3 linked regions of the Lepisosteus oculatus genome follow. The protein of the gene in region 1 purifies or fractionates together with the protein of each later gene. This does not show direct contact. Links are inferred from orthologs where the notes say so. Each region holds a gene or a part of one and is shown in the gene's direction. Other genes may lie near its edges. The genes, in order: kifap3a, kif3a and kif3b.

The links.
Region 2: the proteins of kifap3a (region 1) and kif3a purify together in Homo sapiens (co-immunoprecipitation; 9 studies listed by BioGRID and IntAct, counting the BioPlex papers as one, with this or other methods). This does not show direct contact. The link is inferred for Lepisosteus oculatus from reciprocal best matches to the Homo sapiens genes KIFAP3 and KIF3A.
Region 3: the proteins of kifap3a (region 1) and kif3b purify together in Homo sapiens (co-immunoprecipitation; 7 studies listed by BioGRID and IntAct, counting the BioPlex papers as one, with this or other methods). This does not show direct contact. The link is inferred for Lepisosteus oculatus from reciprocal best matches to the Homo sapiens genes KIFAP3 and KIF3B.

The regions. Positions count from the first base shown.
Region 1 is NC_090704.1:8,064,446-8,068,201, forward strand, and holds the start of kifap3a (kinesin-associated protein 3a), read left to right. Parts: upstream 1-1,142; 5' UTR 1,143-1,508; coding exon 1,509-1,540; intron 1,541-2,582; coding exon 2,583-2,714; intron 2,715-3,756. UniProt on the Homo sapiens protein: Involved in tethering the chromosomes to the spindle pole and in chromosome movement. Binds to the tail domain of the KIF3A/KIF3B heterodimer to form a heterotrimeric KIF3 complex and may regulate the membrane binding of this complex.
Region 2 is NC_090706.1:24,925,474-24,929,229, reverse strand, and holds the start of kif3a (kinesin-like protein KIF3A), read left to right. Parts: upstream 1-958; 5' UTR 959-1,237; coding exon 1,238-1,243; intron 1,244-3,660; coding exon 3,661-3,756. UniProt on the Homo sapiens protein: Microtubule-based anterograde translocator for membranous organelles. Plus end-directed microtubule sliding activity in vitro. Plays a role in primary cilia formation. Plays a role in centriole cohesion and subdistal appendage organization and function.
Region 3 is NC_090711.1:3,905,077-3,908,832, forward strand, and holds the start of kif3b (kinesin-like protein KIF3B), read left to right. Parts: upstream 1-1,275; 5' UTR 1,276-1,462; intron 1,463-2,127; exon of another isoform or gene 2,128-2,349; intron 2,350-3,756. UniProt on the Homo sapiens protein: Microtubule-based molecular motor that transport intracellular cargos, such as vesicles, organelles and protein complexes. Uses ATP hydrolysis to generate force to bind and move along the microtubule. Plays a role in cilia formation.

The DNA.
Region 1 (3,756 bases):
AACAGTTTTAGCTTGAATGATAAGAATTTCATAATGGATGTCTTAACAATGTTATAATAATTTCCACAAATGACTTTTATCAAACTTCTCTATTAAATACATACAGTAGTTATTGAGGTAATACCACTAAACTGAATTTCCCACTAAAAATTGAAAGATGTTTTACAACAGGTTATCCTAGGAAGTAGAAGAACACTTTGTAACCTTTTCTTTAAAATATTTGTAGAGAAGAAGGCTTGCGAACCAGGGGCAGGCCATTCACCCGTCTTTTTTACAATTTAATCGTGCAGTAAGTAAATAAACTAAAATTTAATGCAGACGTTTTTCTTGTGTATACTGCATCTGTAAAACCTCAGCCTCCCCCCCCATAACCTAGTTATGAAGCCAAGTTGAGTACTGAGTACAAACGTAGGAAAGTAAACGTTAAAAGCAAACCAAAAATCTAAAACTGAAAAAAGCATTTCAACCTAAATACCCCACAGCCTGACAAAACAGAAGTTAACAGATCAATAAAACTTACAACTATCACACAGTCTAGTATTCAGTGGATATCGTTTTCAGATGGTATGTTAGTTAATGTTTTCACAACAATTATGTAGCTATTACAAATAATGTCAAGTTCAAAGGAAAGACATGAACATTGGGTACTATATATTTCACTAACTCGTTAATTAGTATCCTGAAAGATCTGTGCTACTCACACAAGGGGGAAAAAAGTTAATTTCACCATATGATAAAAGTTTTAGGAATGTACTGTATCTCATTTCTTTTAAATACAGAATCGTTTTCTGCTTGTAAATGCCATCCTGCCAACCGCATTTCGATGTCAACTGCTTAAATATATCAGAATAGTACTATTTATAATGCATTTTAAAACGAAACTGGTAGAAAATTACTGCTTTTCCACATTTATAAATAAAAAGTAATACTTGTCATCGATCGTGATGCCAGAAAAACACGTGTACATTTTTTAAACCAACGGACAGTGTTAACTACAGTGTTAACTAGTTACCCCTTAAACCGCCCTCGCTGGTGATTTGTCACTTTGAAGTCAAAATGATGGTTATAGTGACGTTATGTCAAAAGCGATTACTTCAACAGAAAGGCATAGAAGAGAAAATTGGGGGGTTCCGAAATGCTTTAACAAATTCAGTAATTACGCTGTACGAAAATAAGAGGAAAGGCCTTGGTTGGACTTGTTTGTTTATGACTGGTATCGGTATCTGTAAGAGCTATCGATTTCAGCACTGCTGAAATGTTTTTGTCATCCCGGCCATTAGGAGGCGCAAGAACAAATCATTCCGGCAGAAACAGCTGAGCTCCGACCCTCTCTATCTGCACTGTTGCTACATTGCATGCTGGGATGAGTAGTGGCTTACCCTGGCAACGGAAACAGCCGGTTGCACATCATTACTGTATCATAAAATATAGAATACTGTACAGTGAGATCGTTGAATTCATAGAAACAAACATTGCAAATCGTCGAATTTAGAAAAATTGAAAACACGATGCAAACGGAAGACGCACGGTATTTAAAAAGGTAAGATGCAATTCTGCAGGGGCTGTCAGCAAAATAAGCAAGCAAAAATAAACGCTTTTTATTGCGACTGTGTAAGATGGGATAGCTTCATGTCATCTCTTTTTATCAGAAAATGCGCTATAAACTGATACGTGCCCATCGAATATGTATTAAATGCCATTTGCTGGAAAATATTGCAGTTCTGTGTTTGAATCATTTGCCAAGACGAATCCCTGCTATTCATTGTATGTGCTCGTTTGGGTGTGGGCCGTCAGTGTTTTTAGTGTAATTTCTTCTTCAGTTAAAAAAGGAACCTAGATTATTTTCACATAACTGAGGTCATCACGTTATCGTTTGATTCTGCTCCATATTGTGCTGGGAGCAGAACGTGTTTATATTCCAGCACAATAGGAAACAAACATAATATTAAAATAAACATGTTGTTGTCCTCCGGTGCTTTCTAAAGCACCAGTTCAAACCCCATTGTCTCTTTGAGGGACAAGTGTCACTCAACGTCTGGCTAAGCAGCATGTTATTATCATAATCACAATACGTATGATTAAAAAAAAAGAGTTGTAAGCACAGACAATTGACGTTTGCGAGAGAATTATGTCTTGATTTGTTTATACCTTATATCCAAGTTTATATCTTAGAAGACCATACAAATGAGGAAACAATATCATGCATGACTGCTTGCTGTTAATTCAGCTGCCATGATAGCAAATGAGCCAGACAGGAGAAAGTAGAATATCTATGAAATACCTCCAATTTATTTTTCATGTTTTTTTTTTTGTGTACATGATTGAATACCACTTGGTAAATGCTGATATTAAATATGAATTTCACAGTATCTGGTTGCTTTAAAAGACATAACCCCAAACAGTGGTCCTTGTAAAATCGCTATGTAATATATTAGGTAAGTCCTTAGCATCTATTTCCCTTTTTGCTTCCATTGCAGTAGTTAAAGAAGCCGTTGTTTTAATATTTCCCTGAAGCTTAGTGGCGAGCCTGGCCCTTGCATGCATTTCAGTCGTTTTGTGTGTGCCTTTTTCCTCCCCTACAGAAAAGTAAAGGGAGGAAACATTGATGTCCATCCAACTGAGAAAGCCCTTATTGTCCAGTATGAGGTGGAAGCTACTATTTTGGGTGAGATGGGAGACCCCATGCTAGGAGAACGGAAAGAGTGCCAGAAAATGTAAGAAGTGGTGATGTTTTAAATAGGTATATTCTGTAGAGTTGGTGTGCAGCCTAGCTTTCTTAAAATTACATTGGTTCGCATTTTAATGTTCATATTTTATTTCCTTTTTACATTTTTAGAAGTGGCAGTATATATATAAACCTGTTGGAATGGATTTATTGTAAAATAAATCTCCATGGACAGACACTGAAATATTTAAGAATTGCTGTGGATTTGATAGGTGCCAATAAATATATTTCTCTTGGTTTAAGTCCTTGTACGGGGCTTGAAGTTCGCTAAGGCTTACTTGCCACTTTCCCACTAAAACTGAGTTCTCTCAGGAATGTTATTTCTGAATCACCCCTTTTAAATGTTTGAGACTGACAGTTATCACCTAAATTGGACTCAGACCAGGTCAAATGCTTTTTCTTTTTTAGCTTTGGTTCAGATCCATCATCAACGACAATCCATGTTATGACAATCTGAATTGAATTATGTGGATACTTTTCTATTCTGCACTGAAAAAAGAATAAGTAAAATATTTTTAAAACAGGTTTTATTACAATAAATATAATAAAATATTGGATATGTAATAGTAAAGTCTACTGTCTGTATGTACTGATCAATACAAGCTTCAAATAATTTTTTAATCATTATTTTATACAGGCTTCTGTAGAGACAATGCCTTAGTGCTCTTTAGCAATAAATGATTGAGGAGTCTCTGATCAAGTCAATTATGACAAACATGATTTGCGCAATGCTGTTAAGTTTACAGTATAACATTTTACCTGTTTACTTTTAATTGCGACAGCCAGCTGACACACATGATATAAAGTTCTTTTTGCCTTACCTGATCTGCATATAGATTTGATTAAAAAAAAAAACATTGTGAGGAATTCTATTATATTTTGACTGTTAACTATCATTAATGATGGATAGATGTGTGGAAAATAAAACTAGTGGTAGCACAAGAAATGTAAACACTTGCTTGTTAATTTTCATGGGTAAACATCTGATCAGAGATACAGTGCAGAAACAATGTGGAACTGAGCGAAAGAAA
Region 2 (3,756 bases), on another chromosome or scaffold:
TGTGTGAAATCCTTGTTTTATTTTATGCAAAACGTTTGACAGTTCTTTACCATTTGCAGGGTGGGCACTTAAGCAAGGCCATTTGTTTTAAATACAATGCACAATCTAAAGGTGAAATAATGTTTACATTTTGTTGTTTTTCATTTTTTCACCAATTTGTATTGTTCCTTACAACACCAAAGTCTTTAAATATATAGTAAACTAATTTTATTTTTAAGTAATTGTAACTGGTTATGTGTTTAAAGTCATATGCCTATATATTTTTATATGCCTAACTATTGTCTAACTATTTAAAAGCATCCTATCTCGAAATATGTTATTGAAATCACATAATAATAAAGCAGTTAGAAAAAAGTATGGCCTATGGAAAATCTTGTTTGTGTCAGAACTCTTCTAGATTTCTCACTCAAGCTGCTCCAGTAATTAAAAAAACAGAAACATGCCGTTAAAGTTTCCTCGAGAGCTGATGTAATTTATTATTATTATTGTTTTGGTACATTTTGCATCTTATTTCCTTTCTTCCAACAGAGGATTCTTGTCGCACAACGGTGCCATCTGCTGGCTTTACAACAGCTGTACACGTCTCAGACATTTTAACTACAGTACTGTATACGCATAAAACAGAGGTAAGCGGCTAATTAAATTACTATTATTATTATTTGCTAGTATTTATTACTCAATATTAACACATATATTAACAACAAATATTTATGATTAGTTTAACAGTATTTGAAGAAGAAATAGCAGTTAATTCCATAATGAAAAGAGTAATCACTGGTTTTGCTGCATAATATAATAAATTCGATGACCTTAAGGTAATATTTTCATTGCATTTTTTTTTGTTAGTCCTTCCCTCTGTCCACTTCGATTGGGTAATTTTGTTCGTCTCTGTATTATTATTGGTTAAACAGTCTTTCATTCACATGACATCATCGACAAAAGATTTACCTTTAAATGAAGTTGATTGGTTGGCTTGGGGAGATTTCTACTTCCAAATGGACAATTTTTATGTCAGTCCTTCCTATTCCCTACAACAGTTGGAAAAGGGAAACTGCACATGCTCAGTAATTCCGTGAGGAGAAAAAAAATGCCTATCACCTAAGTGAGCGCTGTGACTCTGCCTTCGGTGTTTTTAATTTTTAAAAAATCAGATCGGTACTTAGGCCTGTTTCGTTTTAACGACGAATGCAAGAACATCCTATCGTCTGCCTGGAGACAATTCTCGTATTTTGAGAAAATGCCGGTAGGGAATCTCTTTCTTGTGATCGAAATCAGTTTCTGTGTACATGATATAAGTCAGTTTAGCCGTGGTACCTCCCTTTCTCTATGGAATTGCCGTGTTGCTATGGCAGGCTGGTTTGTTAGCGGAGAGATATCTTGGGACAGTCGGCTTTATGCACGAACTGGGTGGCGAAAATGTGCAAGAAAAGTACTGTATGTCCACGCTTCTTTACGTATTTATAGGAATAAACACCGTTCTTCCCGATTGAAGACATTTTTACGATTCTCCACTCCACCGGCTACAAATACCAGTTCTCTTAAAATAATCTAATTCATGTCAGTGCGTCTGTTTAGTTAATTTAATGCTTAAAATGTAGAGTATTGTTCATACCGTCTGTGATTTGTGTGATATTGTTGTTATATAATCATAGTAGGTTATACTGCTTCCTGCGTTTTTGTAAACAACCCATGCAAATTAAAAACGCAAAGTCTGCATCGTCTGTTTTAATCAGGTTTAATCTCTTTCCATATACGGAAACTAGCTTATTTGTTTTATGCCTCGGTGAAATTTCTGTTTGAAGCAATTATTATAAACTGGTTGGTACAATAACCTTGGCGACAGGATGGAGACAGTTCAGTTTACAGCAGTGCGATGCTGGGCAGAGACATCACCAGATACATTACTACTAGGCCCATCTCCATATTTCTCCCTGTTGTAGTGAATATTATTGAAAATGTGGATACAGGCTTCACTGCACACACTCATTCTGCCCTTATCATTGCAGAATGACAGCATCACCAGAACAGGGCGTCAGGCAACTATTTTAAAATTCAGTGCAAGCTTTCACACTAGAATAGCAAATTTCATCAAGGTTTTAAGGTGCATTAGCCTTTTCTTCTCAAGGAAGGTAAAATTATTATTTTATAATATAGTATAGTTAGTTCTTAGAGGCCACTGGCAGAATTCATTTGTCCTGCTTGTAATTACCGTTTAATTTAGTACATGTACATGCTGTTTTTAATGAAGCATTGGAACACCCGTTTACAACGTGAAGGCGAATGATCTTTCACCATATTTTTAAGGTGTAGCTATCAAAGGCTTAAAAAAATTAAAAATATACAGTAAAACAATTTATAGTACACAATGCCCCCCACCCACGAACACGCATACTATACTCACACGAAGGGGATAAGTAGATAAACGAAGGTGAGGCTCAGTTAAAATTCCTGTTGATTTATCAAATAGAATTTAATTTTGAAGTTGCTTCAGTTACATTGTGGGGTTGTCCCTGTCTTTTTTTGCGTATACTTACAGAGCTCATGGATGTGGAGACACTTTTTCTGTCATGTAGCGTAGTATTCTGTGAACATTGATGATGACTATGAGAGACCATGACTATGTCCTGGTACAACACTCGTGACCTTGTGCTTGGATGTTGTATTTATTAGGGGTTGGGCATAATATAATAAAGGACTGCCTAGTAGTAGTTAATGCTGCTGCTTCCAGGTTAAGTTCTAAAGTTGATTCCTCCCTCGGAAATCTGGATTGTGGTGTGCTCTTGGACTGTCACCAGGGGGCACTGGTTTCCTGTCTTTACCCAAGGACTAGTTCTGGGCTTCTAAACTGTAACTTTCTTTGTGGCCCTACAGTAAGAGTGTGGAGTCCAGAGGGAGAGAGCAGTCTGTGAGCTCTTCGTCCCCCTCACACCCCCTGATTCTGTGATAGGCTTTGGCTTGTCGCAACCTTTACCAGAATTTGTGACTTTTGGTAATGAATGGGTAACATAATAAATAATAATACTTACACATATATAGTGCTTTTCTGGACACTTCACTCAAAGCGCTTTACAGGTAATGGGGACTCCCCTCCACCACCACCAATGTGCAGCCCCACCTGGATCATGCGACGGCAGTCATAGTGTTCCAGTATGCTCACCACATACACCAGCTAGCACCAGGAGGTGAACATAGTGATGAATAGATGGGGATTATTAGGCAGCCATTATGGATAAAAGCGAGGGTTAAATTTAGCCGAGGCTCCAGGATGACACCACTACTCTTTTAGAGAGATCCCCTGAGATTTTTAATGACTACAGAGAATCAGGACCTCATTTTTACATCTCATCTGAAAGATGGTGCTTTTTTACAGTGTAATCTTCCCATTACTATACTGGGACATTAGGACTCGCACAGCCTGCAGGGTGAACTCTCTACTGGTCCCACTAACACCTCCTTAGCAGCAACCCTATATATAGGCCAGGCTCACACCTGCTTAGCTTCAGTGGGTTTCCCATTTGAGCTGCAAGGTAATATAGCTGCTGATTATAAGTTCATGAGTTCTTGAAGGTATTTACATACTTATGTCGTTTCCCAATATTGGGATTAAATAGGAGAGGCATGTATAGCACCTGTCCACTTAACATTCTCTTATTTCTACAGAGTAACAAGCTGGACAGACCTGAGAAATCGGAGGTCAGTGATAATGTCAAGGTGGTGGTGCGATGTCGACCAATCAACCAGAAAGAGAGAATGATG
Region 3 (3,756 bases), on another chromosome or scaffold:
TCTCTGCTAGAACACAAGCACAAATTCTGGTAAATTCTGTAATCTGTGGATACAGAAAGCTTCAACACATTACATTTGTTTCAGCAGTTTGATAACAGATGTCTGATTTGTTGTGGGAGATTGATGGACGGGTTTATTAAACTTCCAAGAATGGAACAGAGGAGTTTTAGGAATTATGGTTTTGGTGCTTCCTGATCTTGCTCTCTGTCAGGAAATCTGGGATAATTCAGATATCTCGTGTCCATGGGACTGGACAAAGTGAGCAAGATGTGAGAACTATAGCTGTAGTTCTTTGGAAGTACATAATTGTGTGAAACTTTCTTAAGGCTAAGAAAAATTAAGTGTTTTTTTCTGTTGCTTTTGTCATTTTTTACTTGCTCAAGTGTATACATGTATATTGGGGTTGAAAGATTAGAGATGGGTTCTTCCCTGGTTTTTGTACAAGCTTGAGAATACCAATTGAAACAATTTTTTTTTAGGAACAAAATGATATAGATGTTCAAAAGCTGAAAAAAAAACTGTATTTTTTTATACACTTAAATTGAAGATTCTGAGTACATAGAGTACCTGAGCTCAACTGTATTACTAAAAACCCAGAAAATCATGGACTGTCAGGAAGATTTTAGAGCTTTTTATAGCTTTCACTGTGAATGCCATTAGCACTGTGGATGTTGGGATTCAGTGCTACGTTTAGATGTACTATACTCAGACATGACTAACAAGATAATCAGCTGTGTTTTGATACTGTCATTCATTTTGAATTGTGTATTCTGAAATATCGGAAGTATTTTTTCAAACAAAAAAAACAATTTTACATGTTTGTCAGTTTTGTCAATTTGACATCAATTTCTGTCGGTTTATATTGGATATGTATTTTGTATTAAATAAACTGATTTCACCGGTAATAAACTTTTGAAGCGATTTTCTTACAATACATGATTGTGTAAGCTTTCTTTTTATTCATGCAATAATTTAAGAAGATTAATCCTGGGTTACGTTTCATTACAATATTAATTTCTCTACAACATGTTAATTTTTAATTTTAGGACTGAGTCACTGGAATTATATCGGCTATTAAATTACCAGCACCATCTAATTTCATAATGCGTTTTTTTTTCTTTTAAAGGGAGAGTCACGTTCAATTAAATTGGCAAATTTAATCTCCTCTGGGTGTCTTTTTTAAAAAAAAAAAAAAAACGACTCGGTTTTACAGTGTGGCCGGACTGGAGAACAAATAGGTACGCTACAATATGTAGTGCACGTCTCGAAAGCTGACTTTAAAGCAGTTGTCTGTGCTCAGTAGGATCATCGATAAGGTGCCATCCTGCACCATTTCATTATCATCGCAGTTGCTCTGTGTAGGGAGGTTTACTTCAGCCGGTTTCCAAGGAAGTTCTCTTTCCATCCGGGACAGTGGAGGCTGAACAGTAATGGCTGACGACCGAGAGGGACTGAACTGCAGGTAACCCCGCATTAAGCGCAATTTATCCGTGGTATGGTTTTGCCTGACCTCGTCGGGAATTAAATTAAAACCACTTTAAGAGCTAGCGTGCTTCGACGGACGAGTAACAGGATTAGAGGAGGTTGGGTTTTTTTTTGTGCAAATTAATTTGTTTTGCCGTTGCTAGGCCGCTTCTCGGGTTGCTGAGGTACCGTAGTGATTCGTTTTTTTTTTTTGCTTTCCCAGTCAAGGAGACGTGATTCACATGAATGCTCTTTTAAATATGGGCACAATCTTTGTAGACTTAATTAGCTTCATTACGTTTTAGTTGCGTTTCTAAAGGTTGTTTTGATTGCAGTGCATTTTTTTCAATGGATAACGTACAGAATGTCTGTTAAATGTTGAATATCTGACCAGACATAATATTAGTTTTCAGTCAAAAGTATGCAAGAATAACCGTAATTTTGTAATACTTTGCAGTACATCTTCTCTTGTTTTCTACCGTCTTGTAGAGTAGCTGCCTTGTGTTAATGCGAAGGAGAAAAATGCCCATCCCTAGTATGCTGTAGCGCATCCCAACAGCTGAGAAAATCGTGGTTTGAAGAACGCAAAAAATAAAACAAAAGTGCATCTAAAATCTTTAAAAGAGTCCTATTTAGTGTTAAATAGTTTAGTTTCCCGTACCTCTGCTGCATGTCAATAGATAAAATATCGTTTCATATTGGAGATGTCCGTACTGTCTGTAGTGGTGGGTGAGGTAACGATTTAAAGGCGTATTCGAGAATTATTGTGAAAAACAAATGCAGGGACAAGTTTTAGAAAGGCGTTCAGGGTAGTCTTCAATACCTTTGGGGCCTCATCGTCCAGTAACTGATTTGGTTTCAGGAAATTCAAAGACGCTATCCGAGGTAAGGTGCTTTTGCTGAGCCAAGTCTGAATAACAGCAATCGAAACTTGCTTACTCTAAATGGGGTACCTAATATAAGTAGTCTTGGATCAGAGATGGAATCTGTGAGACTATTCTGCATATTGTTTGAAATTATTTTGAATATTATGAGAGTGATTTATTTAGCTAGTGATGTGCTCAAAACAATTCTGTCATTAGATCTAACGTGTTTTCTTGTGGTCTGCTGCCCTTAATCTACAAAGCTAAAACCGTAAAATAAAACGGTTTCAGTTACGGTGAACCAACTTTTCCTTTTTTTTATGCAACATTAAAAAAAAATTAATGGATTGCAAAAGCATGTTGTAGTATTTTGTGTCTCAGTAGCACTAAAACCTCAGGGATTGGAACAGGCAGAGGTAATTCGTGAATTTGCCACAGCTGAAATGAGCAAAAAGCAGAAAAGAAGCCTCTAAGATAAGTAGCTTGCATACGGAATTCCATCCTGTATAGGCCTGAATTTGACAATCTCTATACTCTAGAGTTTCATGAACACCGAACTCCTCCGTAGTGTTGTTATTAGGATAAAGATGTAGTCTGCAGGAGCTGACAAATCGAGTAATCGGAATGGTCTCTGTTCACATCCTCCCAGTTAGTTATTCATGTATGCAGTGGCTTTTAGAAGATGGGACTCCACAGAGAGAAAGGCTCTCTGAATCTTCCAGTATCTCTGGGAAGCAGTAAATATTCAGTTAGCCCTCCTCTGTTTCTAGCCGGCATAGAAGCAAAGCATTTATTTGGGATGGGTAGTAGATTAGTGTCCCCATGACCTTATTTCTAATTAGTTTTAAACCATTCCCTGAGTATAAAATACTCAGTGATGTCCTGTTTACTAGTCAATTCTCATGAAACCTTCCCATGCAAAATTTGTTGAAAATACTATGAGACTCATATCCTCACTGGTGAAGGTTGGTGCAAGGAAAGTTCTGTAAAATTGATGTTTTCACCACTGTATTGTAGGCACTGCTGCCAGCACCAACAGATGGATGAACTGATATCAAGTGCATGACATGTTTTTACCGTATACTGTTACACCAAGGGGTTGTTATGTTTAATTTGATTATTGATTTTGAAACAAGATCTCTTGGCCCCAAATGTGTTGGGCTATTCTGTCAATATAAACATTGCATTTCAAACAGATGCGCGTTTAATGGTGAACAGTGAATCACTGAGACAAAAGTTTGGTAAAATCTTGCTGGGGTTGCATTATGACATTTAATACATTTACTTGTGGCAGCAGTGTGAAACTGTGGTTAAGGTTCTGAATTTATAACTTCTGGGTTCAAACCCCAGTAAGGTACTTCACCCAAATCACTGCAGTAAAATACCCTACTGTATAAGTAGATACAAAGGTATATAGAAATTTGTGGAA